Macaca fascicularis: one gene and its partners. The protein of the gene in region 6 interacts with the protein of the main gene of each other region in a biochemical or structural test. Links are inferred from orthologs where the notes say so. Each region holds a gene or a part of one and is shown on either strand. Other genes may lie near its edges.

Region 1 (3,928 bases), on a different chromosome or scaffold from region 6:
TAGTCACACACACACACACACATATCGGGAACACCCTCTGTCTTTCCCATATGCGGTGTGGAAAACGGGGCCAGACGATCCTGCAGAAACTTCCTGATGAAAACAGCCCCGTCAGCCCTTCCCCTAAGCTTGAGGCCGGCTGCCACGGAACCTCATCCAGGGCTCCAGAGCTTCCTTCGCGGCTTCAGGGACGCACTGCCCTGCAGGCATCGCCTGCTTACAAACGACTTCAGGGGCTCACGAAGTACCCTGTCCCCGGGACGCGGCTAGATCCTGGGGAAAACCCCTCCACCCAGCCCCATCTGGCAGAGAGACTCCAGATTAGCAGCTCCGGAGTCACGTGAGCCAAATTCACGCCATACCCCGGTTCCAAGGTTAACCACCCCTCGCCCCCTCCGCTTCGCGGCCGCGCTGATGTGCCTCCTCCTCAGGCGGTCCTGGAGTCTGCGTCTCCCAAGCAGCTTTCAGGGGTAAAAAGGAGGGGAGCGGGGGAGGGGAGACGAACTTCTTTGTTCTTTCGCCAGATAAACTCAGTTTACGGAATTCTCCAAAACTCACTCCCATCCGCAATATGCAAATATCTCTGATCCTCACGTGGAGCGCGAGCTACTTCATTCATTGAGACTTTCGTGTTCCTGGCCCTAGGCTAAGTATTATCTTGTAGGATCACATTTAAGTCTCCCAGTAACCCCCTGAGGTAGGTGTTATTATCCCTATTCTAAAGATGAAAAGAAATGAGGTACTGAGAATAACTTGCCTAGGGTTTTACAATTAACAGATTGGCACAGTTAGGTTTTGAGTCCAAGTCTGTTTTGACCCAAAAGTTCTAAATCTTTGTAACTGTTCTTTATATAGCAGGAATAAAAGTAACAACCACTCCTTGCAGAGCAATTACTATATTCCAGGCACGGTATTTCTCCAAACTACTTTCAGAGGCAGGTTTGTCACTTACCTGTTATGTGACCTCAGGAAGTTTCTTAACCTCTTTTTGACTCAATTTCCCTGTCTGCAAAATGAGGCTAAAAATATGGTTGTCATGAAGAGCAAACGAATTAATATACGTAAAGCCTGGCACACATTCATCCCTGAAATTGTTGCTGTTGTTTTTTTAACCATCATCTCCATTTCACAGGTAAGGAACCTAGCCTTGGAGAGGTGAAGCAGTGAATTAGTCCAGCTTGCCCGGTGCACACCCAGCTGCAAGGACCCGCTCAGAAGTCGTGCGGGATGGGGGCCCGCCGGCAGGTGAATTGCACTTGGCAGGTAGGAGATGAGCTTCTCCGGGGTCGCTGCAGAACGCGCCGCAGCCCGGGAGGCCGCGAATGGTTATCAGCTACCACGCAAGGCTGGAGGTCCGCCCGCTCCGGATTTGCTCGTAGTGCGAGGGCCCCTGCTGTGTGCTGGGGGTTCCCGCCAAGCCCACTCAGAAGCACTCGGGGGGACACCTGTGGGCGGGGCCCAGCTGCCCCGCAGAAGCCCCCGGCCCCGGCCCGCGCGCACACACTCAAAGCCCCCCAAGGCGCGGAGGCTGCCCGCCCTCCCGCCCGCCGCGCTCCAGGGCGGAGTTTCCTCCTCTGCTCATTGTTCACGGCCCAGCGCCCGCCCAGCCCCGGCCCCGCCCTGCCCGGCCGCCGCCGCCGTGGGCGGGCACATGGGGGAGGGGGAGGGGGAGGGGGAGGGGCGGGGGCGGGGGAGGGGGAGGGGCGGGGGCGGGGGCGGGGGCCGGCGCGGACGGGACGGGCCAGGAGTAGCCGCAGCCGCCAGTGGGGCCGCAGCCGCGCAGACGCCGCCCAGGACGCAGCCGCCGCCGCCGCTCCTCCGCTGCTGGCTCTGCGCCCCAGCCCCGCTCTGCGGCAGCAGCAGGGAGGAAGAGCCGGCGCAGCGCGACCCGGGAGCCCCGGGCCACAGCCCGGTCGCCGGAGCCACCCACAGGCCTCCCCGAGCGGCGCCCACTCTCCTACCGTCCGGACGCGCGGACCCTCTGCCGGCCCCGCAGCCACCTGCTCCCGGCCCAGAGGCGAGGACACGATGCGCTGCGCGCTGGCGCTCTCGGCGCTGCTGCTGCTGCTGGTGTCGCCGCTGCTGGCCTCCCAGGATGGTGAGTGGCCGGCCCGGGCTCCGCCGGATGCCCCACCGTGCGCGTGTGCCCCCTACCCGGCCAGGTTGCAGGGAAGCCCGACGCGCCGCGTGGTCTGACCCGGAGCAGCCCTGTCGCCGCCGGGGTCACACACGAAGCCCTGACCTTGCACCATCCACGCCCCCTCCAAACTCCACTACGCGGCAGGTGCAGGGCCCGAGCGTGGATTCGTCTCCAGTCTCCACTCGGGAGGAGTGGGCAGTGGATTCTGCCCGGGCAGACAGGGGCGCGCCGGTGCTAAGTGGGTTTGCTTGGGAAAGAAAAGGGAGACAGCACCGCGAGGCTCGACGCTTCTGCGGGACCCTTGGGATCTGATTACACCTTTCCTTCGTGTTGGAGGGAATGTGGGGCTATATTGTGTATTCGTTAATTCCAGGCAAAGAGGCAGGCGAGAAGCTCCCGAGGAAGTCCCTGAAGCAGGTGACAAGCCTCCAGCCACTGTCCACGCGGGCAATGTGCTTACCCGTTTGCAGAGAGGGTTTTCCAAGCAATGTGTGCAGGCTCAACCCCCCGAGCCCGTGCTGGGGCAGGTACAGAGACTGTGGAAGTGGACCTTCCATAGTCCCAGAGTCACCTGGCTGAGTGGGGGTCCTACCTCCGTGTCCCCAAACCAGTCACTTCTTAGTGCGTGGCTACGATGGTGAGACCCCCTCGAATCCTGTTGTTGAAACGGGAACTTCTCTCTCGTAGAATAGGATTGAGCTGCATTTTAGACACACCTTAGAAACCGTACCTGTCTCTCAAGGAACAGAGCTGTACCTCAGAACATTCCCTCCTTGTTTCTTTTCAAGGTGAAATGTTACTCATTCTCTTTGGGGGAACAGGCGATGGCTGCAAACTCAACCAGAGCAGGTGTTCCTAAGCCCCTAGGAACATCCGGAGTCGGATCAGGACCATGGGAGAAGCGTATTTCTCATTCTCTCTTGCCCACCTGAGCACGTGTCTGCAGGGAGAAAGAGGGGAGGTGGTGTGATCACCCTAGGGCAGGAGGACTGCGGGGACAGCACAGACAGGGAAGGGACTCTGCCGCGAGCAGGTGCTGGCAGTTTGGGAGTGGACTCCAAGGGGCGGGGGGAGATGGGAGGGCAGTACAGTCTCTCCTCTACACCGCAGGAAACCTTTGGTAGTGGGCAGGGGCTGGCACTCAGGGAGCAGGCAGGTGTGGGCATCCTCCTGTGGCCGGCGGGAGACTCCACCAGCCTGACTAGAAAGGGAATGTCCTGGCGGGGCAGAATGTGTGTCCCCGGAAGAGGGGCTGCAGTGTGAGGAACAGTCAAAACAGCTTTCAAGGTGGCAATCACTGAAGAGCCACATGACATGCAGGGTTGAGATGACACCAGAGTGTGGTGGCACTCCTCAGCCCTACTCTCTGGGGACAGCTGGACTTCAGGGTGGGCCTTCATATGAACCTTTTGTTGGGAAGCCTCTTAGAACCACCCAGAAGGGCGTTGGGCTGTGTCAGGAAAGAGGGGTTAGTCCCTAGTGCTTCTGAGCTTAAGGTGGCTGAGCCACCCTCACTTTGAGGAGTGGGAGGCGCTGTGGGACAAGACCCTCCCTGTTCTGCCCTAAAAGGAAATGTTCCTAAGCCACCAGTGGGCAAAGCTCTGACTCTAGCTCACTGCTGGCTTCAAGGATGGATGGGACTGTCTTTCCTGGCACCTGGGCACTGCCAGAAACCGTGTCTCTTCCATGAAGCACCACTTCTAGCCTAGCACGGGGCATGGCACATGGCAGAAGCTTGGTATGTGGCAAACAAAAATGACCATAACCCAGTGCCTGCTATAACCAGCA
Region 2 (4,276 bases), on a different chromosome or scaffold from region 6:
GGATGTAGAGTGTGTCTGTGTCGGAAGAACCCGATCCAGCAGCTGCGCTCGCTGACCTCACACAGCCACAGCCGCGGGTGTAGGCGGCAGAGCTCAGCACAAGACCCACAGGTTCTGGTTACTATGACATGGACATCCTGCCCAGCAGAGAAATTCCAGAGTGAGGAGGCATTACCCTCACTCCTGGCAGAGGCAGACCTGCCTTAGAAGAAGGAGAATCCAGTAAAGGCGTGTTAAGAATGAAATCAGCGGCTGCTAGTTAGTGCTTTTGTTTCTACTGTGGGCGCCATTGTCCAAGCAGACCTTCAGAGAGCGACGGGGCACTCTTGGTGATGCTGCCAGAACAGCAGGTGCTACCTGGGACGCATGGACACCTTATCTCCTTGGAGCAATCGGGGACCTTTGGGGGCAAGTATTGTGGTTAGAAAAAGTCTAACCACAATAAGAGGAGCAGCTGTTAGATGAATAGGGAGCATGCTGGAGGGGAGCAGGAGGGAGAGGGAGAACACAGCCCTGGTTGGCGGGAAGTGACTCGAGCTGCTGGGCAGCCTGTGCACAGTGGGCCACACAGCAGGAAATCATGAATTCCTTCCCTGGTGCAGATCAGGCTGGTGTGGATCTGGCTCCAGCCAGGGCCAGTTTTCTCAGGGCTTGATCCCCCCGGGGGCTCAGAACAACCTGGTCACACCCAGAGGGCTCAGGAGGAACAACCTCCCCAGCAGCAGTGGCTGCACTCAGAGCCTTTGGAATCAGACAAAACCTAGTCCACAGCTTAGTAACCGTGGCCTGAAGCAAGCTACTGAATCACTCTGCTTCTGTGACCTGTAAAATGAGGCGACTAAACCAGACTTCATAGATCTGTTTGAGGATTAAATGATACAATGCACGAAAAACACTCAGCACAAAGATGGCACATAACAGGGACTCCATGCCCGAACTTTTATTACTGTTTGCTCCCCTGTTCTCATGCCCACAAGGCTCTGCCACCTCATCCTGCTCACTGGGCACCTTCCTCACCAGGGCCTTCCTGACCCTTCCTCACCAGCCCCAGACACGCCAAATTCAGAACTGCACCTTGGCCTCTCTCTCTCACTCTCTATTGCACTTTTTTTTTTTTTTTTTTTTTTTTTTTTGCCTGTGTACTCCCCACCAGACCGGGAACTCCTTTTGGACAGAGAATGCATCAAGGGTCCTCAATCTAATTGCCTGTTGGACTCACCTGGGGCCAGATTCTGGGACTAGGCATCAGCACGTTGTCCAGCTCCCAGCTGATGGCAGCGTGTGTCCAGGGCAGAGAGGTTGTGCCACTCAGGTGTGCACTGAGGACCAGCCGCATCAACATCACTGCAGCTCCTTAGCAAAACCGCGGACTCTGGAAACTCCAGACCTAGAGAATCAGAACCTGCATTTTAGCCAGATCCCCAGGAATGGAAAGCACAGGAATGCCAGCGAAGTGTCCCCAGAGCTCGACATAATTCAAACACCCAGTGGGTGTTGAGCGGGGGTTCACTGATTGACTAATTGACTGAATGAGTGAAGCCCTGTGTCAGTTTCCACTGGGACTTCACACCTACTCCCTCATGTGCTATGAAACAAACAGGCTCCAAAAGTAAACCCGTAAAACATTCAGGAATTCAAAAATAGACACAGACCTAAGTTGATAGAACAAATAGCTGCAAAATGGTGAGGTTTTTGAATGAAATACCTGAAGGAATTTTAAAGATTTATTACCACCAGGCTCTGCGCCATTAAACCTCTTCTACTACACTTGAAGATAATTTTGTTTTGTTTTAAGATTAGTAATTGTGAAAACCTGGGAAACCAGGACTGGCCCCTGGGAGGATCCTGTCCACCTGTGTGGTTTGGGCACAGCCTCCAGGTGGCTGGGGCCGCTGGAAGGAAGACAGACTCGCTGGTGGGGAGTCCCCGGCACTGCCAAAGGCCTCCCCACGCCCGTTCCCTGGGGACAGGACCTCTGTCTCCCCTCCGCAGGCTCTTCCTGGCTCTCACCCTCCCAGCCTGCATCCCCCAGCCCCACCTCCTCCGCCGCCGCGGAGTTGCAGCTGACTAGGGGGCCGAACCCAGGCGGCGAGCATCGCCTTATCCAGCCCCAGTGGGGGCTTCGTCCCCCGCGGAGTGTGTCACACTCCGAGGCCAGGCTAGAGGTTGCGGCGCTCAGGACTCCCGGTTCCCGCCGCCCTCAGGCTCCCCAGTCCCAGCCTCCCTCCCCATCTCTCCCAGGCTCCCTTCCCCAGTCTCAGCCCCCATCTCCGGTCCCAACCTCCTCTGCTTCTCTCCCAGGATCCGGCCAGGAGATCGACGGGTGGCGGGAGGGGCGCTCTGGCGACCCTGGAAGCGAGAAGCAGGCCTCTGCAGGGCCAGGGATGAAGGTGCAAGGGAAACTCCTGGGACCTGGACCTTAGTCGTGGGAGGGACGAAAAGGAAAGTTCTTAGACAATTCTTCAGGCTTGGCTTCTGGGGGGCGGGGCGGGGGGAGGAAAGGGGCACGGGTTCCCAGTCCCACCGGCGCTGCAGCCGAGCGGGGCCTCCAGGCATGCGCTCATCGAGGGCAGCTGAGGCGGAAGCCGGAGGGCCTGCAGCGCTAGCTGTGCGACTCCGGGCGAGGTTTTTAAACTCTCTCCTGTTTTCCGCTTTTGTAAACTGAAGATAACGTCTCTCTCCTGGGAGTGGGAGCACGATGCAGACACTCCGTAGGAATTCGGGACTTCTTGATTCTCCTTCCTTATCCTTGAGTTGTTTGAAGCACTCCGGCCCCTCAGCCCCACGCCTTTTCCCAGCCCTGCCCCCTGGTGGAAAATCGTAGGAACTACCTCTCAGGAGGGCTCCCGTAAGCCAGGCACTGTACACACACTTTTCATTTCATCTTCGCAGCAGCTCTTCTTGGTGAGTACTGTTATCCCCATTTTGCAAATAAAGCAACGGAGGCTTAGAGAAGTAACTTTTCCAAATGTGCCTCAGCTCCAGGCAAAATAGGAACCTAGGTCATCTGATGCCAGAGTCAGCCTTCCTCACTGTTTATGATCCGGCTTCCCTTTCTGTACCGAATTTTCTATTTCTGCCATAACAGATGACCACAGGCATAATGGCTGGAAACAGCACCCATTTATTAGCTCACAGTTCTGTAGGTCAGAAGTCCAGGCTCGATGCGACTGTGTTCTCTGCTCTGTTCTCACAAGGCCAAAACCAGGGTGTCAGCGAGGCCTGCATTCTCATGTGGAACTCAGGGCCCCCTTCAAGCTCCTGTGGTTCTGGCAGAATTCAGGTCTTTGTGGTTGTAGGACTGAAGTCCTCATTTTTTCGCTAGCTCTCAGCTGGGGGCTGCTCTCAGCTCCCAGAGGTCACCCACATTCCTTGCTCTGTGGCCCCCTCCATCTTTAAAACCAGCAAAAGAAAAAAAACCTCCTTCTGTCTAATTCCTCTAATAATTTGAATCTCCTACTTCAGGAAAAGCCCAATCCCTTCAAAGGGCTTATGACTGGGTCAAGCTCATCCCCGACGAACTTTCTTTCTTCAAGTCAGCTCTGCCATATGACATGCCCCAGTCATGGGAGTGAGGATTTCCTGGGGTTCCTCAGGGGGTGTATACAAGGGGGCAGGAATCACCAGGGTGTCTTGGAATTCTGCCTACTTATAAGTGCCTTCCCTGTCACCAGCATGTATTCTGGTGTTACATTCAAGTGTAACACCTTGAACGCTTCCTGCTAACCCTAAAGGGCCTTGAGGGGAGAGGGGCAGCCTATTCACCAACCAGTTTGGAGCATTTTCCTATGAGTGCAGTCATATATATTCCCATAGAAGAGTATACAAATATCTCCATATGAGACATAAGCACACCCTCCTCCATTCCTCTTCCTCCAACCTCATCCCATGTTTCAAAGCTCAGGGAATGTACATTTTGATCCAGCATATCTGAGAGAGAAAGTAGGAAATTGATAGAGATGTTTGTGATCACAGATAGGGAGACTGAGTCTGAAAAATCACTCCCAGCCCAGTGATCTCTCCAGGAAGCCCTGCTGACCCCCAAGCAAGGCTCTTCTCAAGTTGCTGTGGCCCCGACTCCTGACATTCCAGACCACGCCGTGATCTCTCCAGGAAAACCACCAAGTTTTCCTCCCTATGGGTGTGTGATGTTTGACCTTCTTAATCCAGAGGTCCATCTAAATGGATGTCAGATTCACTAATGCATCATCTGAAATACAACTTCCTTTGATTTTGCCTCTTTTGAGTCTTTCTCCACTTGTGTTTTCCTATCAAA
Region 3 (3,500 bases), on a different chromosome or scaffold from region 6:
TGAGGCAAATGACACAGTTTCTTTGACAAATAAATGACAGAAAAAACAAAGGGGGAACCTGTGTATTAAAACAGTGGTGGCCAGGCGCGGTGGCTCACGCCTGTAATCCCAGCACTTTGGGAGGCCGAGGCGGGCGGATCACAAGGTCAGGAGATCGAGACCACGGTGAAACCCCGTCTCTACTAAAAATACAAAAAAAAATTAGCCGGGCGCGGTTGTGGGCGCCTGTAGTCCCAGCTACTCGGGAGGCTGAGGCAGGAGAATGGCGTGAACCTGGGAGGCGGAGCTTGCAGTGAGCCGAGATCACGCCACTGCACTCCAGCCTGGGCGACAGAGCGAGACTCCGTCTCAAAAAAAAAAAAAATAAAAAAAAATAAAATAAAATAAAACAGTGGTCCTCAGAGTGCTGGCATGAATCAAAAGTCACTGGGAGGGCTTGTCAAAACACAGATTGCTGGCTTCATCCCATAGTTTCTCATTCATTAGCCCTGGGTCAGGGCCCATGAATTTGCATTTCTAAAACGTTGCTAGGTGCTCTTCCTCCTGATGATCCAGAAACCGCAGAACCATGTTATTAAAGAAGTCTTGGATTATGAATCAAATACAATGTATGGATCTTGTTTGGATTCTGTTTTGAACAAGCCAATTGTAAAAATAATAATAATTCCCTTGATAATAGGGAAGTGTAGGCATGGGATGGACTTTTGATAATTTTAAGGAATTGGTAAATTTTGATAGTGTAATCATGGTATTGTAATTATATTTTTCTTTTTTAAAGAAGGCCCCATCTTTTTAGAAATATATGTTGAAATTATGGGTAAAATGCTATATTGTTCACTTGAACATAATTGGCGCTGAAAAGTAGTTGAGGATAGAGGTAAAAAAAGATTGGCCAGATTTTGACAATTGGGAAGAACGCGAGTGATGAGTATACAAGGATTCATTATCTGTATTAATTTTTCTACTTTTCTGTGTTTATGGAAATTACCTTCAAAATGTAAAATATATGTTTGGAAACACAAAAATATATTCCTAAATAGCTCATAACTTAAATGTAAGTCACCATAGAAATTACACGTTTTTGGAATAGAACAGTCATGAATTATACTATTTCAAAACATGTGGGATGCAGGTAAAGCAGGACTTAAGGGTAAATTAATTGACTTAAGTCTTCCAAAAAAAGATTGAAATGAATTAAGTTCAACTTAAAAGTTAGAAAATGAAATACAGAAAAGCTGGAGGGAAAAAAATAAGAGCAGAAAAAAGGGAACTAAGTGAATAATGCAGTCATCTTAACTAGCTGAGAAGATTGGATTGAACCAAGGCATTATTCTGAGAGAGACTGGTCTGTAATTTTCCTCTCTGTAATATCCTTGGTTCTGTCTCAGTACTATGCTAGCCTGATAGAAGAATTGGGCAGTCCTGAGCCAGGTATGGTGCTTGCCTGCAGTCTCAGCTACTTGAGAGACAGACAGTAGGATTGTTTGAAGCCAGGTGTTTGAGACCAGCCCGGGCAACATAGTAAGACAGAAAAGGAAAAAAAAAAAAAAGTGTGGTAATCTAAAGAGAAATTAATAGTAGGACTTCTCTATTGTCTTAAATAGTTTCTGGCTCAGTATTTTTTCAGCACGCACTTCGTACCAGATGCTGTGCTAGGTATTGAGGACACATAGATGACTAGGATATGGCCCATACTCTGGCACTCAGTCTGAGGGAGCATATAAATTTGTAAACAAAAAATTAGAATCAGGCAGGAAACGTCAGTAGACAATATGGAAACGTTCCCAGGCAATTCCTTGAGAGAAGAAAATTTTTAATGTATAGGATGGACTCAGCTTTGTGAGGTTTTTCCTCAAGTAGTCTCCAAGAAGAAATGGCATTTACCAAGCAGGCAGTCTGTTATAATGGGACACATTAAAAATCACGAGGAGTTTGCTGTGTGACTGGGAGACCATTAAGTTATAAGAGCTGTCAGTGTATGTTATTTAGGATTTTTGTAGCAAGGTTTATATGAGAGATTGGCCTGTAATTTTCCTTTCTTTTAATATCCTTGTATGGTATCAAGGTTATGCTGGCCTTATAAGTGTTGGAAAATATTCCATCCTTGTTATGCTCTGGAAGAGATTGTGTAAGATTGGTGTTATTTCTTCCTTGAATGACTACAAAGCCATTGGGACCTGGGGTTTTCTTTAGTCAATGTGTACTAAACATTTAGTAGAAAGAGTGACCCAAAATTTCAACTTAAGTCGAATATGTATCTGAAAAGGTTTATTATTTTTACTAACATTTTCACATAAAACTTCCCTCTGCCCACTGGGGTTAATCCACAGTTTGATCAGTGTTGTATCAGTGACAGAAATTCACCAGTATGAAAACCCAGTCCATTTCTGACCACCAAATAGTGTATTACAGCTTCAAAAAAAAAATTTTTTTTTTTGCTATCTAGGCTTTGTGCTGTGTGTGCCATGGTGTCAAATGAGACAAATCTGTGTCATCCAAATACTTGTGAACTCAACTTGATATGAGCAAGCATCATATCATTTTAATCTACTTGCTTTATTGGGATGTGTATGTGGATATATTAAGGGCTGATTATTTTCATGGGCTTTGCTGCTTGGAATGCTTTGTCTTAGTTTTTGTGGATGAATTTTTAATTACATTTTTATATTTCATAAGAAGTAATGAATTTACATCATTCACACTTCAGAAGTTATAAATAAGGTTCTCCAGCTTTGTCCTTTAGTCAGCTAGTTTCTCATCTCTGGAACCAAAAGATGTTAGTTGCTTCTTAGCTATTCATCAATTTTTATATTCTCTGAATATGCAATATATATTCACTCCCACTCCCTCCCCTCTTTTTTTAACACTTTACCTTGCTTTTAATTTAGTAAGTCCTTAGAAACTATTCCTTATCATCATTGCCTGTTAAAACTACCTCTTGTTTCTTTTCTCTTATGACTTCCTTGTATCTTGTGACAACAGTAATAATAAATTAATGTAGTCATTGTAATATTGATGGATTTTTAGGTTATTTCCAGTCTTCTTGCCCAGAAAAGCTACATTGAATATCCCAAATTGCTTTTGAATAATTAAATTATCATTTTCTCTTCCTTCGCTAGTTTTTTAGGACAGATTTTTTTTTTCTTTTCATTTCAGCCATGAACCAGAGAATCAGTCAGAGTGCTCCAGTGAAACAACCACCACCCCTGGCTCCCCAGAGCCCACAGGGAGGCGTCATGGGTGGCAGCAGCTCCAACCAGCAGCAACAGATGCGACTGCAGCAGCTCCAGATGGAGAAGGAGAGACTGCGGCTGAAACAACAAGAACTGCTTCGGCAGGTGAGGCCACAGGTTAGAAACCAGCCTTCCACTTTTTGGGGTTTGTTTTCTTAAAGTTGGGCAGATTGCATTTTAACATTTATTAGTTACAGAGGAATGTTGTCTTTGTAAAACTGAGCGACACAGAAGCATTCTATCCAGCCCTGTCCTTGTCTTAGTTTC
Region 4 (4,228 bases), on a different chromosome or scaffold from region 6:
CTCCATCCGCACCCACCTACCGCCCACCTGCCCTCCGTCCACCTATCATCCATCCACTCAGCCACTATCTTGCGAGTGCTATTGTGTGCCCAGCTCTCTTCTAAGCTCAGGGGATGCATGCGTGAGCCCCTTGCTCGTGGAGCAGACATTCCCAGGGTGAGGGCAGACAGCTCAAGGTCAAAGCCAGCAGCCCCCAGGGCTGAGAGGTGAGCTGAGCCCCGGCTGAGTAAGCAGGGGATGCGGGAACTCAGCAGCCACAGTTGTGAGCTGAGTGGGTGGGGGGTGGGACAAGAAGGTGGCATTGGAGCCAAGCCCCTGGGGAGCCGAGGAAGGGAGCAGGCAAGAGCTGTCCAAGCAGAGGGAGCAGGGTGTGCAAAGGCCGATTGCTAGTGTGGGCTGTGGCGTGCATGGGGGTGGGTGTTAGGCAGTGGCTGGGGTCAGAGCTCCTGGGGGAAGTTGAGCCTTTCCTCTGAGAGGGAGGGTCCCAATAGGAGGGACTGAAGGGGCAGGCAAAGGGCCCAGCAGGAGGCTTTGCAAGTGGCTGCAGGCAGGCTCTGAGAAGCTGCTGGTTTTGTGCGAATTTTGAAGGTAGAGCACATATGCTAAGAGCTTGGAAACCCCTGGTGAGCGAAAGAAGTCCGCGTGCCTCCCAGGTCTGGGGCTGGAAGGCTGCAGGGTGGGCTTGGAGGAAAACAGGGGTGTGGTTTGCATAGTGGAGTCTGAGATGCTTAAGGGAGCCAGTGCTGCCAGAGTGGGCTGTGGGCAGAGGCCCCGCATCAGTGTGAAGCCCTGGGGGTATCGAAGTGTTTTGGGTGGAGGTCAGAAGGCAGGGGCCGGGGCGTGGAGGCCACAGAGCCTGGGGTGGGGGATGCGGCCGGCGAGGGGAGGGGCAGAGAGACTTCCCAGCGCACCACGCCAGGTCTGGGCGTCCCCGGTTTCTGGTAAGTGGCCGGTCCGGCTGCGGAATGCAGGTTCCTGCTGAAGACACAGCGAGACGTGAGGCCCGGGGGCCCCGTGCACCCTCGGGCCGCCCTGTGAGGTCTGCGCAGCCCCAGGGCCCGCGTTTATGAAGGATTGGGGCGAGCGCACCCGCAGCTGCCCGGGCACCCCACGAGCTGAGCGGACGCCGAGAAGCGCGGGGAACCGCCTGTCCCGCCGCCCCGCGCTGTGCTCCCCTCGCCCCCAGCCCCAGGGAGGCGGTCGCGCAGTCCCGGGCTCGCTCTTGCCGCGACCTCCCGGACCTCCAGGCCGCAGGCTCCGGGGAAGGGTGGGGACTGGGGAGCGCCGGGTGGGCGTGCGCGGGCGGGGCGGGCGTGCCGGGAGCTGCTGCGGTGTCCGCGCTCGCGAGTGCGCGGCGGGGGCGGGCAGGCTCCGCCCCGGGGCGGGAGGGGGCCGCGGGATTAAAGGCCACCCCGGCGGGCGGGGATCGGACTGTCGCAGGCACCGGCACCGGAGCGCGCCGGGTCTTCGCCGGGTCCCAGCCCCGCGCGACGGCCGAGCCCAGCCGGGACCCCCCGCGACATGCGCGTCCCAGCCCCGCACTAAGCAGGCGGCGATGTGGGGACTCGGGTCCCGGGGCCCCGGCCGGGGACTGCTGCTGGCGCTGGCGCTGGGAGGGCTGGCGCGGGCCGGGGGCGTGGAGGTGGAGCCCGGCGACGCGCACGGCGAGAGCGGGGGCTTCCAGGTGGTCACCTTCAAGTGGGCCCACGTGCAGGATCCCTACGTCATCGCGCTCTGGATCCTCGTGGCCAGCGTGGCCAAGATCGGTAGGTGGCCCCGGGGTCTCCGGGTCTGCCCGCGGGGTCTGCGGCCGCCTCTGCCGGGTCTGGGGGCTTCGTTGTGGCCGCGCCCATCAGGTCGGAGCCGGGCGGCCGCGGCTCGGGAGAGTCTGGCTCTCCGGTCCAGCAGAGCGAGACTCGGGAGCGACTCTGGCCGCGCTAAGCCGCCCCTGCGGGTCCCGAGGGTCTCCCCTACCCGGCGGGGGCACAGCCTCGGAGCCCCTGGCTCGCGGCTCCCGGGTCCCTGTGGGGTCTCCGTCCGGCCTCCGCTCCGAGCCCCGCAGACTGTAGGCTGCTCGCGCCCGAGGAGTCCCTGGGGCCGGGTTTCCTTGGGGGTACTCAATCTTTTTAGAGAAACGTCCTTGGAGTGATGGCGCTTTTTCGTGCGTTACAAGGGCAGAAAGGAAAAGCGGTGCCACCCGCATGAAACCCAGCAGAATCCTCCCTACCGGCGCAGCGTTCCCATTGGCGGGCCTCCTTTTTTTTTTTTTTTTTGGAAAATCCCGGTCGGTCAGATTTCTCTTCTCCTTAACTTGCGCCAATGAACCAGTAATGTGGGCACGGCAGGTAGCTCCTGGCAAGGTGACAGGAAGGTCAGCTTCCTGAGGAGCTCGTGGGGATCAAAGTTTCATGTGTTGGCCCACAGGGGAGGGTCTCTCCAGGGGTGGCGGAGAGGTGGTCACTTGTGTAGAGGGGGGATTAGGGGACACGAGTGGGGCCAGGAGAAGCAAGATCAGAGCAGCAGGCGCCGCCGCAGGTTTCCAGAGCGGCTTTGGACTGGGGCGGGGTGGGCAGGGGGCGGCGGTTTGGATGCTGGGGCCGAGGAGGGGCGCCCACGCAGGACAGGGGAAGGACAGGCTTCGGGGAGAACAGCTGAGAGAACCTTGGCCTTGGTGGAACCTGGTACGCCCAGCAGGCTTGATTGGAGAAGGTGCCTTTTCCTTCAGTGACGCCTGCCGCCTGCCCTATTTATGCCAGGGTCTCCCCTCCCCTCCAGGCCCCTTGAGTGTTTGCTTTCTGTCTCGTAAGTGCTCTTCTGAGCCCTCCCGCGCCCTCCCTTCTCTGCAGCCTCCTCGCTTCTCTGCAGCCTCCTCCCTTCTCTGCAGCCTCCTCCCTTCTCTGCAGCCTCCTCCCTTCTCTGCAGCCTCCTCCCTTCTCTGCAGCCTCCTCCCTTCTCTGCAGCCTCCTCGCTTCTCTGCAGCCTCCTCCCTTCTCACCCCGGTGTCTTTCAGCTCCCGGCCTGGGCTGCCTGCTCTCCGGGCTCACGCTGGCCTCGCTGTGCTTTCCACTGGGGGCTTGCGATGCTGGCCGTGGGGGAGTCTCTGAGGCTGGCTGCCTCCTACAGGTGATTTCCTTGAGAAGGTCCCCTGGGGCATCAGGGAGGTCCAGCCTCAACCTGGGCTCTGCGGTCGCCCAGTCCTAAAGCTCACCCTGCTTTCCTCTGACGGGCGTGTCCCGCTGGTGTAAACTGAATAGGTAATTTCTTTTATTTCTTTTCTTTTTTGAGACGGGGTTTCATTCTTGTTGCCCAGGCTGGAGTGCAATGACGCGATCTCGGCTCACTGCAGCCTCCACCTCCTGCCACAGCCTCTCTGGGATTACAGGCATGTGCCACCAAGCCCGGCTAATTTGTATTTTTAGTAGAGACAGGGTTTCTCCATGTTGGTCAGGCTGGTCTTGAACTCCAGACCTCAGGTGATCCACCCGCCTCGGCCTCCCAAAGTGCTGGGATGACAGGCGTGAGCCACCACGCCTGGTCCTGAATATGTAATTTCTGTACAAGCTGGGGCCTCTCCCAGTTCAGCCCCGTGTACAGAGTCAGAATCTGGCATCTGAAGGTCCGAAGACAGCCACCAGGCACCAGCCAGCCCCGCCTGGGAGCCCGCAGGGAGGGCACACTGACCGGGGCTTTGCCTGGCCTCAGAGTTTGTTATTCACCAGGAAAAGCCTTCGGGTCTCCCAGACACTTGGACTGGTTCTGGAAAGACGTCCTTGAGGGCAAGGAGCTGCCGGCTCCAGCAGCAAGTCCCGGGGGCAGGGCGGTCCCAGAATGCATCTCCTGGGGAGCTGGCCCTTTACGAAGGCCCACCCTGATAGCACCGAGTGAGCGGCTGTCTTTGTCCCGGGGTTGTTGGCCCCACCTGGGAAGGCAAGAGCCTCGCCCCGCGCAGCTGTGAGAGCTCATCGAAGCATCCCACCGGCACAGACCTCTCCAGACCTTCCCTCTACACTCGCTGTCATCCCCTCAACCCACTGTCCACGCTGCAGCCCCGGCAGTGACAGCTGAGGTCTGCCCTGGGTCTGCCCTGATTGGCCCCCAGGCTGTCCCACCCTCCATCCCCTCTCTGCCAGCCACACCTCTTGAATGCAGCCCCTGGCCCTCCCTGTGTGCTTCCTCCCCCAACCCCTCCCCTGTGAACTCTGGACTTCTCAGATTCTGCTGGCCCAGA
Region 5 (3,500 bases), on a different chromosome or scaffold from region 6:
CTTCTTACTAATACAGAAGTGAAATTCCAAATGTTTCTGAATATCCCAAATCCCAACAACGATTCTAAGATGTTAGTATTTGAGAATAATGGTGTTTAAAATAAAACTATGATTTATATTAATGTAGCCAAATGGACAGGTTATAGAGACTGGGCATATCTATATTGGACCAAACTCTATCAATCAGTATTTTTCATTCCAAACAGGCATGGAAATACTGTTAGTTGTTCTTTGTGTTATTAGAATTTTTTGGGGGCAGCTGGGCATGGTGGCTCACGCCTGTAATCCAAGAACCTTGGGAGGCTGAGGCAGGTGGATCACCTGAGGTCAGGAGTTCGAGACCAGCCTGGCCAACATGGTGAAACCCTGTCTCTAGTAAAAATACAAAAAATTTGCTAGGCGTGGTGGCGCTTGCCTGTAATCCCACTACTTGGGAGGCTGAGGCAGGAGAATCACTTGAACCAGGAGGAGGAGGTTGCAGTGAGCTGAGATCGCACCATTGCCTGGGCGACAAGAGTGAAACTCCATCTCAAAAAAAAAAAAAAAATGTTTTTCTGGCTTTGGATTAAATATTTGATTAGTTGTTGCATTCCAGCACCTGGTACTTCTTATGATTTTCTGGGTAGTTCCTGGCCACCTCTCACCTTTGCACCTTTTTGTTGTTGTCATTGCCCAGGATGGTCTCAAACTCTTGGGTTCAAACAATTCATCCACCTCAGCTCCCAACATGCTGGGATTGCAGGCGTGAGCCACTTTGTGTGACTGACATCACTGCTTTTTTAAAAACCTGTACTCTCTTCCAGGAAGGAGATTTCCAAGATTCTGAGAAGTTCCTACCTCAGAGGGATGAATTTGGCCTCATTTTTCAGTGCAAGCAAAATCATCGTGTTTGTGACTTTCACCACCTACGTGCTCCTCGGCAACGTGATCACAGCCAGCCGCGTATTCGTGGCCGTGACACTGTATGGGGCTGTGCGGCTGACGGTCACCCTCTTCTTCCCCGCAGCCATTGAGAAGGTGTCAGAGGCAATCATCAGCATCCGAAGAATCCAGGTTGGTGTCAGATGCCATTTTAAAGTTGTAGGTGCATTCGAGGTGAAATGATATCTCCTTTTATTTAGCATCACTATGTTCCAGTGTAATGACATTTAACTCTTTCATAACCAAAACGTGCTGCCATTCCACAATGTTGTGTGTACTTCCTTATCTTAGATAGAGCGCACTAAAGACAATGCAAGCATTGTGATCATTTATTGGCAGCAACCTAAACAGCAGTGGCACAGGGCTTTTGATGTGCAGGTGGTAACGGCAGGTGTGATTAAAATGTTTAAGCTGTCTAAAAGGAGGAAAAGCAAATAGATTTCATCTGTTACGTTAACGCAAGTGAGAAAGTAGCGAGTATGGGTTGAGTATGGTTCTTCTGTGGGCTGGAAGCAAAGAGCTTGCTGAGGTCCCTGCTTCTTGGTCAGGAAGAATGGCCTCAACTTCACTTAGCTATCCCTGTTTGAAAATAAGTTCTTTCCTCTGTAGATGTTTTCCTTGTTAATTTTTGTGCATGCCTTTAGGATCTCTGCCGTTTCTTTCCTATCCTCTTTTCACTTTTTTCTTACTGTTGATGAACCTAACTCTACCAGACTTCTTTCTTTCCAATCGGTTGATTTCTACTTACTGCCTTGCTCCGTTTGTACTATTGTAACAAAATACCTGAGACTTGCTAATTTATACATGTTAGACATTTATTTCTCACAGTTCCGGAGGCTGGGAAGTCCAAGATTAAGGCTCTGGCATTGGTGTCTGGTCTGGTGAGGACCATTCTCTGCTTCCCAGATGGACCTCTGTGTCCTCACATTGTGGAAGAAACAGAAGGACAAACTGGTTTAGTTCCCTCCAGCCTTCTGTAAGGACACTAATCCCCATCAGGAGGGCTCTGCCGTGGCGACCTAATCACCTCTTAGAGGCCCCACCTCTTAACACTGACCCTGGGGTGAAGTTCCAGCCTATGAATTTAGAGTAGGCATGCCCATTCAAATCATAGCATCCACTTTACACACCATCACCTTTTCCTCAGTAGCTGTCACTAAATTGCCAGGGGCAAATAATTTATATCACCAAGGTAAGGTCCTGGCACACAATGTATGCACAAGTATTTGTGTGTTTATGAATAAGTTGAAAATTAAAATAAATTGGCTTTGTGAGAGGGCCTGGCAAGACCTTGACTGTCTAAGCTTTTCAAAAATCTGCTTTGTTTTATTCCTGGTTCTTAATAGAGATGGATGCCCAGGGACAGACTCGAGTGAACTTAGCTGACACTGGCTGTGATTATTTTTTATTTTTATTTTTTTGGTTGGGGAGAGAGTGGGGTGGGTATTATCATAAAAGCTAAGATTCTTTTTTATGATGAACTTTGTTTTTTAAAGAAGAGATCTTGCTGTGTTACCTAGGCTGGAGCATAGTGGCTATTCATAGGCAGACTCCCACTACTGATTAGCAAGTTTGTATTTCGTAAAAAATATTACCTCTAAAACAGACCATACAAGGTCAATTCTTATCCTCATTCTTTCTGACAACAGCTTCAGGTAACACTGTGAAGGGATGGTCCATGCAGGTCAGTAACACTTTTTTCTTACAGCTTTTGCATCTTGAAAGAAATAACTTAGAAATATACTTTGACCAGAGTGTCTTTCTGAGTGTGCAGGACACCTTTTACAGATGGAAGGGCCACATGTGTATTGTGCTGCTGTAATTCTCTGACTGCTGTTGCTGCCCCTCACTGTGATTGCAGGCGCTGGTGTGTGTACTGTGAACCAGGGCTCTTGGAAGCCTTTACATGTTATTTCATGTTATCCTCACAATTGAAGGAGATAAGCATTAGTGTCCCCACTTTACAGAGAATGAAACTGGCTCCTATAATAGGTTAAGGAGTTTGCCTGTCTTAGAGATGGGAATCTGTTCAGAACCATGATTTCTTAACCATTATTACGTTGCCTGTTGTATTAGTCTGTTTTTATATTGCTATAAAGAACTTCCTGAGACTGGGCAATTTGTAAAGGAAAGAGTTTTAATTGACTCACAGTTCAGCATAGGTGGTGAGACCTCAGGAAACTTACAGTCATGGTGGAAGGGGAAGCAGGCACTTTCTTCACAGGGTGGCAGGAAGGAGAAGTGCAAGCAGGGGAAATGCCAGAGCTTATAAAACCATCAGATCTCATGGGAACTCACTGTCACTAGAACAGCATGGAGGAACTGCCCCCATGATCCAGTTACCTCCACCTGGTCCCACCCTTGACACGTGAGGATTATGGGGATTGCAGTTCAAGCTGAGATTTCGGTGGGGACACAGAGCCAAACTGTATCACCTATGTTGCTGCCTTAGTATCCTCTGGTGTGGGATATTTCCTTCAGTGTTCTTTTACTCATCTAGTCTTACTCCAAAAACCTTGAAAGGTTCTCTGTTTCCTGTGGAGTCCTATTTTTGAACCCTAGGTGTAGAGCTCACCTGG
Region 6 (4,219 bases):
ATTGCAGGGGTGGGGGTGGCAAGCAGCCATGGCGCCTCAGCCTAAGTGGCTTTTAGGGGCAGCTGCCGGGATATGGGCACCCAGGGGGCCATGGCCCAGGAGACTGCCCAGAGGCGGGCCCTGTGCTTGGGTGGGGGCAGGGGAGCCCAGGCCAAGGCCCCAGAGAGAGGATAGGGAGAGGAGGACTGCGCCAAGCCTGCTTCTACTGCTCACATGGGGAATTGCCTGGGCTGGCTGTGCCTGACCCCTGGGAACCAGGTATGTGCGGGGGGCCTGGCTGGGCTGGGGAGGAGGGCAGACTGGGGCTGTGCCTGGACTCAGCTGTCTTCCTATATTGGAGACAGAGGAAGAGCTGGGTGGTGAAGAGCATGGACTCCGAATCTCACATCCCTGGGCCCAAAGGGAGCTGAGGAAGCTTTGTGGGTCCCTCTCCAGGCCTGTTTGCAGGTCTGTGAAGTGGCCAAGCCCCTAGGGTTGTTCCAAGTAAAATGCGCTCAAGCATAAACGATTTCACTGTGGTGGCGACTGTCCTGTTGGGGAAGGAGGGACACTCGTGCTTCACGTAGAGGCTCAGGGACGTAGACGGCTGTGGGCAGGGGAGAGGAGGCCTGCTGCCTGCCTGCGGACACTGTGGAGCAACGCCTGTGCACACTGGCCACCACCCAGAGCTTAGAGCCCAAAGAAGTCAGTGGAGGCCCATGTCGAGACTCATCCTTTCGTTACCCTGCAGAGTCACAGTCCAGGCCTGGGGTGGGCTGGGACACAAGTAGGGGTGCCGGCCCGGCCAAGGGAAAGAATGGCGGGAATGGACGCTGTGCAGATAGCCCAAACACGGAGGGTAGGCCAGGGAGTCTCAAGCCACTGGCCCCCAGGATGCAGGGAGGGACAGCTGCGTGTCACGTTTAAACCTCTTTTTGCCTCCTGGGCCCTCCTGAGACCCCTGGGCCAGGGCAGTTCTGGCTGCAGGAGGGATCCAGATCAGGCACAGCGGAGAGGAGATAGGCACGGGGGTCTGGGAGGGCTTCCCCGGGAGGGTGGGGGGGGGCTGTGGCCCTTGTTGTTACCCTTTGGCCCCTTTGGGGGGGTCCCTTTTGTCCAACCCGTCGCCCACCTCAAGACCTGCCTGGATGCTGCACATACAGTAGGTATCCAATAAATGTTCCTGGGATAGAAGGCAAAGGCGCTGTCACCAAGGCGGCTGCCCAGAGCAGGAGTGAGACAGAGGGGTCCTGGTGGCTGGGGGGTCCCCTAGTCCTGCCGCCTTCCCCCACCCCCAATCGGGATGACCGGCCACGGAGGCCGGGATGGCTGGGACCGGAGGTGGGGGCGGCCGGGCGGCGGGGGCGGGGGCGGGGAAGGGGCGGGCGCGGGGGCGGTGCCGCAGCCCGAGCTGGAGCCCGAGCCGGAGCCCGAGGCGACGGGAGCCGAACGGGAGCCGCCGAAGCCACCGCCGGGTGCCCAGCGCCGCCGCCGCCCCCGAGCTGCCCCGCGCCCCTGCCCGCGGGCGGCTGGTGGGCAGCGGGCGCCATGGCCGCTCCGGAGCCGCTGCGGCCGCGCCTGTGCCGCCTGGTGCGCGGAGAGCAGGGCTACGGCTTCCACCTGCACGGCGAGAAGGGCCGCCGCGGGCAGTTCATCCGGCGCGTGGAACCCGGTTCCCCCGCCGAGGCCGCGGCGCTGCGCGCTGGGGACCGCCTGGTCGAGGTCAACGGCGTCAACGTGGAGGGCGAGACGCACCACCAGGTGGGGGCCCGCGCTCGCCCCCGGCCCGCCGCCCCCTCCCTGAGCGCGTCCCTCTGGGGCGGGCGGGGGTCGCACGGGGGCCTGAGGGGGCTTCCGCGGAGAGGACGCGGACATTGCTGGGAGGCAGCAGCCCGGCGCCTTCCGAGTCCCCGCGCAGGAAGCTCAGCCCTGCACAGGGGTGGGGGGGCATCCTGGCAGGGAGGGGCCCGCACTGCGGCTCCTGGCCGTTGGCCTCGCTCTTTGGTCGCGTTTTGGCCTCAGTGTGCTATGAAGGAGGGTGTTGGGCAGCCTGGGGCCCCTCCAGAAAGGTGGAGACCTGGGTGCTTTTGCGTAGTTGTGTGTACACGTGTGCGTGTGAACACAGCTGGGCGTGTGTGTGCAGGTCCCTCTGGGGTCAGCCAAGTGTGCACGCGCCTGCCTGTGTGTACCCAGGAGGGGTTGCAGTAAGGGCATCAGTGTGTCTGCAGTTGTGTGTGTGCTGGAGTGTGTGTGAGTATACAGGTCTGCGTGCGTGTGTGTGTGTGTGTGTGTGTGTGTGTACAGGTCTGGACTCCTGGGCATGTGAGAGCTGAGCTCTGTGTGTGTGCACACCTGGTTAGTGTACTCATCACTGTGTGTCTGCAGGCTGGTAAGTCTGTGTCTGTACTCTAGTGTGTCCCAGCCGGTATGCCTGGGACCGGGTTGAGTTGGCCATTGGTGGCAACCACATTCCTTAGCTCCAAAGGCACTACCCCTCCTCAGAGGCTGCTTAGCCCGGCTGGGGTTACTTGCTAAAGCCTCCTGCCTCCTGGCTAAGGAGAACAGAGCCTTTTCTCTGTGGGTTCTGACCCCTGAGGTATGTCTGTCTCCCACAGGCCAGGGACTTCCACCACACCCTGGTGGGGGTCCAGTGTCCACACACCCCTTGTCCTCCAGGTCCCCTGTCCCTCACAGCACTGGCGAATCCATAACCTGTCTGCATGGCTGGTCCTGGAACCCCAAGATTAGCAGTTGGTTCAGCTGGGCCTGCAGTTGGTCTCCTGTTCACCTGGTGCCTTGTCTGTCCCTCCGTCGGCCAGCCTCATGCTTTCCACCCAGTGTCTGCTGTGTAAGGTTGTTTGCTGAAGAAGGTGGGGATCAGGGCCGGGCGCGGTGGCTCAAGCCTGTGATCCCAGCACTTTGGGAGGCCGAGACGGGCGGATCACGAGGTCAGGAGATCGAGACCATCCTGGCTAACACAATGAAACCCCGTCTCCACTAAAAATACAAAAAAATTAGCCGGGCGTGGTGGCGGCACCTGTAGTCCCAGCTACTCGGGAGGCTGAGGCAGGAGAATGGCGGGAACGGGAACCTGGGAGGCGGAGCTTGCAGTGAGCCGAGATCGCGCCACTGCACTCCAACCTGGGCGACAGAGCGAGACTCCGCCTCAAAAAAAAAAAAAAAAAAAAAAAAAAGAAGGTGGGGATCAGGCCAGTGGCCTGGACCTGAGGGATTGAGGGTAGGGCTGGCAGGGCTGGGGCCTGGCTGCTGTTTGATAGTCGTTGCCGCCCTTGCCCAGGGAACACCTGCTTATCCAAGGCCCTGGGGTGCTGGTCTCTGAGGACTGGACACACAGACCATGGTGGACTCTCCCCACTGCCCCAGGAGGGCAAGAGGTGCAGTTACTGCCCCATTTGACAGTTGAGGAAACTGATGCCAGAGATTTAGGGTGACTTGTTTGGGACACATAGTCAAGAAGCAGCTGGGCACTCGGTTCCTCTTGTCTCACTCTGGGTCATGGGGAGAGAGGAGGGCCAGGGGACAGATGGGCCTGGCTCAGTCCCTCCTATCTATTCACCACCCCTGCTGAGCCCGGTGGCTGGTGGGGAGCCCTGTCCACCCTCCCCCAGGCCGCAGGTGGGAGTAGGGCTGCCCGTCTTCCCGCCCGCTTCCCAATGGACACTGCTTTCTCTCTGCGGGTGCACGCCGGCCCCCTGCATGGTCCAGACACTTCACAGGCACCTGTACCCACACGCCGACAGCCACCATGCCATAGCTGTTCACTGCCCCTCCCCCTTGCCGGCTGTACCTGAATGTTGCTTCCCTGGCTGTGTGTGCGTACCCGAGCCAGGAGTCCAGCCATTCCCCTCCTCACAGGTCCAGTGGGAATGGGCCCATGGTCATGGCCTGGAGGTGGACATAAGGCCTGGGGTCAGGGGTTTAGACTCCCATGGCAGAGAATGACAGGAATGGGCACAGACACACCCAAACTGGGGCCCAGGGAGACACCCCTCTCCTTCAAACCTGGACGCAGACACAGACTTTGAAACAGATGGATGCACGTGCACACACTAACAGGCAGACTGAAAAGCTGAAGCTCCACTGTGCGCCGTCTTTGTTACTTCCAGACGGGACTTACCCAGCTGCCCTACCCTGCAGCCCCTTCCCAGCCCTGCCTGGAGAAGACCCTGGGCTAAGGGCAAGGCTCTGGGAGGACCCTGAAGCCCTCACAGCCTGGACC
Region 7 (3,500 bases), on a different chromosome or scaffold from region 6:
CTGGCTAATTTTTTAATTTTTTGCAGAGATGGGGTCTCACCATGTTGCCCTTGCTGGTCTCAAACTCCTGGGCTCAAGTGATCCTCCCACCTCGGTTTCCTAAAGTGCTGGGATTACAGGCATTAGCCACCACATGTAGTCCAATTCCATTGTTTGGCTCAACTCTGAATCAGTGCTTCTGAAACTCACTGACTATCTCTGACATACACAATATTTTTCTTGGTCACAGTTTTTACGCTTGTTATCCTCTCCTGCAGAAAGGATTTATATGTACTGTTGACACCATAAAAGATTCCGACGAAGAGCTGGACAACAATCAGATACAAGTACTGGACAAGCCAATCGATACCACAGACCTGCCCTTCCAGATTGACTGGAATGATCAGCTTCCTCTCAACATTGAGGTCCCCAAAATCAGCCTCCACAGCCTCATTCTCGACTTTTCAGCAGTGTCCTTTCTTGATGTTTCTTCAATGAGGGGCCTTAAATCGGTAATTTCTTTGTTCTTAATGGAAACAACCAATCAATGACTGAAGGTGAAAAAAAAATTGTATTTGTGGGCTGGGCATAGTGGCTCATGCCTGTAATCCCAGCACTTTGGGAGGCTGAGGTGGGTGGATCACCTGAGGTCAGGAGTTTGAGATCAGCTTGGCCAACATGGTGAAGCCCCGTCTCTACTAGAAATACAGCTGGGCGTGGTGGCATGCACCTGTAATCCCAGCTACTTGGGAGGCTGAGGCAGGAGAATGGCTTGAACCTGGGAGGTGGAAATTGCAGTAAGCCAAAATTGCACCACTGCACTCCAGCAACAGAGGGAGACTCTGTCTCAAAAAATAATAATAATAATTGTATTTGTGGAAGGATGCTCCTTTAGGTAACATGCATTTAATTAGAAGCAAATTATAATCTTAGAGTATTCCATGGAGGGAAAGGTGGTGTTCAGTGGACTCTTGAGAAGGGCATTTTCCATGAGACTGGGTACTATATTGAAGGGAATCAAATCTATAATAATAATGTATGATGAATCTGCTGGTGGACAACTGTGCTCACATTCCTTTCAAATTTCAATTCTGTGGTGTTTTCAAATCTTTGTGGGCATAGTATCTAAATTATTCTGAAATCAGAGAAGATCTGGAAAGGTCCTGGGAAAAAATGTAAGAGTGGATCCTTTTGTTTTATCCTCATTCACCATAAGCTGATTTTCACATGGCTAAAACCCAAATAGATATATGAAAGAATAAATGTCACATGTGATTTCAAAACACGACTGACAATCAGATTGCAGCCTGTTTTCTTTCCACAGATTTATCACATTTCTAAAATAAATTAGTTTCTAACAGAAATGCAGAAACATATAAAAAGAAAATTTAAGAATTTCTACATCTTTCTCTTTTTCTTGGGTTTTCACAAAAATCTACCCAAGTGAAAGCTGACCTAAGATAAGACCTATTAAGCATGAACTGGATACATGTGAACTGGATACAAAATTAGAAAATGAAAGAATTTTTTTTTAATGTTAACATCATGTAACTCTTAAGTCTACTTGCGTTTTCTTTTCTTTTTTTGGTTTCAGTTTTTGCTTATTTTAGCTTTTGATTACTTTAGCTTACTGTTTCTGCATTTTCACACACACACCCACCCACCCACATACACACACACACACGTATTTATTTTTTGGTTCTAGCAGTATAACACAAAGGACAAGGGCTCTAATTCTTAGTTAAGTGCCTAGAAGAGGTTCTGAAAGTGTTTACTAATGACGGCAATGATATTAATGATATTAATGATCATCTAACCTGATCAACAATATAAGCTACTTTTCTTACCTTCCATGATCTTACTCATATCACTACTGGTATTTGTTCTTAGCCTAGAGACCAGAAAAATGTATAAAGATTCATTGGTGCTAGATATATCCATTCATTGTGGACAAGAATAATTAGCAACTCATGGTCCGTAGGTTCTTTTTTTAAACTTTTATGCAGCAAGAAAGCTCTAGTTGAGATCATCCCAAAGAATACACTATTTTAAAATTAAATCAGAGTTGTTCTTATGAGTTTGAGACAGAACATTTTCCCATAATACTCCCTTCAAGAATGATCATTTTTAACTTCTTACTGAGGAGAAGGGCTCCTTTATTTGGGTTTATTTCTGTCATAGAGCCTTGGTTTTAACTTTAGTATCTTTTGACACTATTATCTCTTTTCAAAATGTTAAAGCTTCTGAAAGCAATACATCACCCGTAAGGTATAATTCTGATTGTTTTCTTTATATTTCTGACAAGTGAAACTGTTCCCTAAGGAAGATATACTTTCTTTTTAACAGATTTTGCAAGAATTTATCAGGATCAAGGTAGATGTGTATATTGTTGGAGTTGATGGTAAGTGGCTTTATTTTTGCTTTATGTTCTGACAATCACTTCAGGCTCAATGCCAACTCTCAATCTAGACAGCCTCTCCAAAGAATGAGTATTTTATATAAACAAGATGAAAATCTAATTTGCAGCCAACCCAATAAAAATCCCTATGGAAACAGCATCTTTGCATTTTAGTTGTGTTGATATGTAATTAAATAAATTCTACAATTTGAATCCTGATTTCATAGGCAACAAAGGAGGAATATATTAACTATTTTTTACTCTAAATTTCCTGAAAAAGTAGCCTTGTTTTCTGTCTCTCTTCCTCCCTTCCCTTGCACTCTCCAGCCCATAATAATTTGGTTTAGCTTCACCTGCTGATGAGACCATCCTTGCCAAGGTTATCAGCAATGTCCAGATTGTCAGGATTAACTGCCTTCGTCTCAGGTCCCTCTGCAGCAGCGTACTTAAGCATCAGGCGCTCTCTCTAGCATTTGTCTTTGAAACTCTCTCCCTTCCTGACTCTGGCAAGACATTTCTGATTCACCTCCTACCTCTCAAACATCTCCTCAGGGTCAGACATTGGTTCAACTCCCACTCTTTCAGTCTTCCCCAAGCTTCAAACTTACACTCGATACCATGGTTCTAATTCCACAGACTCTTTCTAGTCAATTTCCTACATGTTTATTATTTCATGTATATCTACTTGTTAATGAATCCCCAAACTATACCTCCAGCCCAGACCTTTCTTCTGAGCTGCAGACCAATGGACTCGACTGTCCGGATATCCCCCAGGCACCTCAAATACATATTTTTAATAAACTACGTATATGATTCCCCCTCCCAAAAATACTTCTTTCCTATCACAATCACTGCATCACTGCTTACCTAGTTTTCCAGATAGAAACCCTGAAACCATCACCAATTTCTCCTCTCCTTCCCTCTAGTCAGTGAGTCACCAGGTCCTATAAATATTTCCTCTTAAATCAGTCTCTTCCTATCCATTTCCAGAACTTTAATCTAGACCCTTCTCATTTCTCAACTAGGCCTTCTAGAAGGACTTTCTAACTAATATCCTTGTCCATCCCTATAATGCTCTCCCATCCTATTTTCTGAAGAAAGCTTCTTCAGGCAGTTTTCCGAC

Evidence for each region.
Region 1: the proteins of NHERF2 (region 6) and PODXL form a complex in vitro, tested with the Homo sapiens proteins (3 studies listed by BioGRID and IntAct, with this or other methods). The link is inferred for Macaca fascicularis from reciprocal best matches to the Homo sapiens genes NHERF2 and PODXL.
Region 2: the proteins of NHERF2 (region 6) and KCNJ1 form a complex in vitro, tested with the Homo sapiens proteins (2 studies listed by BioGRID and IntAct, with this or other methods). The link is inferred for Macaca fascicularis from reciprocal best matches to the Homo sapiens genes NHERF2 and KCNJ1.
Region 3: the proteins of NHERF2 (region 6) and YAP1 form a complex in vitro, tested with the Homo sapiens proteins (2 studies listed by IntAct, with this or other methods). The link is inferred for Macaca fascicularis from reciprocal best matches to the Homo sapiens genes NHERF2 and YAP1.
Region 4: the proteins of NHERF2 (region 6) and SLC9A3 form a complex in vitro, tested with the Homo sapiens proteins (2 studies listed by BioGRID and IntAct, with this or other methods). The link is inferred for Macaca fascicularis from reciprocal best matches to the Homo sapiens genes NHERF2 and SLC9A3.
Region 5: the proteins of NHERF2 (region 6) and ABCC4 form a complex in vitro, tested with the Homo sapiens proteins (2 studies listed by BioGRID and IntAct, with this or other methods). The link is inferred for Macaca fascicularis from reciprocal best matches to the Homo sapiens genes NHERF2 and ABCC4.
Region 7: the proteins of NHERF2 (region 6) and SLC26A3 form a complex in vitro, tested with the Homo sapiens proteins (2 studies listed by BioGRID and IntAct, with this or other methods). The link is inferred for Macaca fascicularis from reciprocal best matches to the Homo sapiens genes NHERF2 and SLC26A3.

What each region holds. Positions count from the first base shown.
Region 1 is NC_088377.1:173,085,944-173,089,871, reverse strand, and holds the start of PODXL (podocalyxin), read left to right. Parts: upstream 1-1,128; 5' UTR 1,129-1,227; coding exon of another isoform or gene 1,228-1,270; coding exon 1,271-2,098; intron 2,099-3,928. UniProt on the Homo sapiens protein: Involved in the regulation of both adhesion and cell morphology and cancer progression. Functions as an anti-adhesive molecule that maintains an open filtration pathway between neighboring foot processes in the podocyte by charge repulsion.
Region 2 is NC_088388.1:127,421,323-127,425,598, forward strand, and holds the start of KCNJ1 (ATP-sensitive inward rectifier potassium channel 1), read right to left. Parts: upstream 2,801-4,276; 5' UTR 2,282-2,800; intron 1,388-2,281; 5' UTR 1,343-1,387; coding exon 1,220-1,342; intron 1-1,219. UniProt on the Homo sapiens protein: Inward rectifier potassium channels are characterized by a greater tendency to allow potassium to flow into the cell rather than out of it.
Region 3 is NC_088388.1:101,212,132-101,215,631, forward strand, and holds part of YAP1 (transcriptional coactivator YAP1), read left to right. Parts: intron 1-3,156; coding exon 3,157-3,350; intron 3,351-3,500. UniProt on the Homo sapiens protein: Transcriptional regulator with dual roles as a coactivator and corepressor. Critical downstream regulatory target in the Hippo signaling pathway, crucial for organ size control and tumor suppression by restricting proliferation and promoting apoptosis.
Region 4 is NC_088380.1:827,707-831,934, reverse strand, and holds the start of SLC9A3 (sodium/hydrogen exchanger 3), read left to right. Parts: upstream 1-1,428; 5' UTR 1,429-1,555; coding exon 1,556-1,766; intron 1,767-3,925; exon of another isoform or gene 3,926-4,066; intron 4,067-4,212; exon of another isoform or gene 4,213-4,228. UniProt on the Homo sapiens protein: Plasma membrane Na(+)/H(+) antiporter. Exchanges intracellular H(+) ions for extracellular Na(+) in 1:1 stoichiometry, playing a key role in salt and fluid absorption and pH homeostasis.
Region 5 is NC_088391.1:86,141,775-86,145,274, reverse strand, and holds part of ABCC4 (ATP-binding cassette sub-family C member 4), read left to right. Parts: intron 1-803; coding exon 804-1,053; intron 1,054-3,500. UniProt on the Homo sapiens protein: ATP-dependent transporter of the ATP-binding cassette (ABC) family that actively extrudes physiological compounds and xenobiotics from cells.
Region 6 is NC_088394.1:2,793,428-2,797,646, forward strand, and holds the start of NHERF2 (Na(+)/H(+) exchange regulatory cofactor NHE-RF2), read left to right. Parts: upstream 1-1,419; 5' UTR 1,420-1,527; coding exon 1,528-1,740; intron 1,741-4,219.
Region 7 is NC_088377.1:149,306,514-149,310,013, reverse strand, and holds part of SLC26A3 (chloride anion exchanger), read left to right. Parts: intron 1-257; coding exon 258-491; intron 492-2,325; coding exon 2,326-2,380; intron 2,381-3,500. UniProt on the Homo sapiens protein: Mediates chloride-bicarbonate exchange with a chloride bicarbonate stoichiometry of 2:1 in the intestinal epithelia. Plays a role in the chloride and bicarbonate homeostasis during sperm epididymal maturation and capacitation.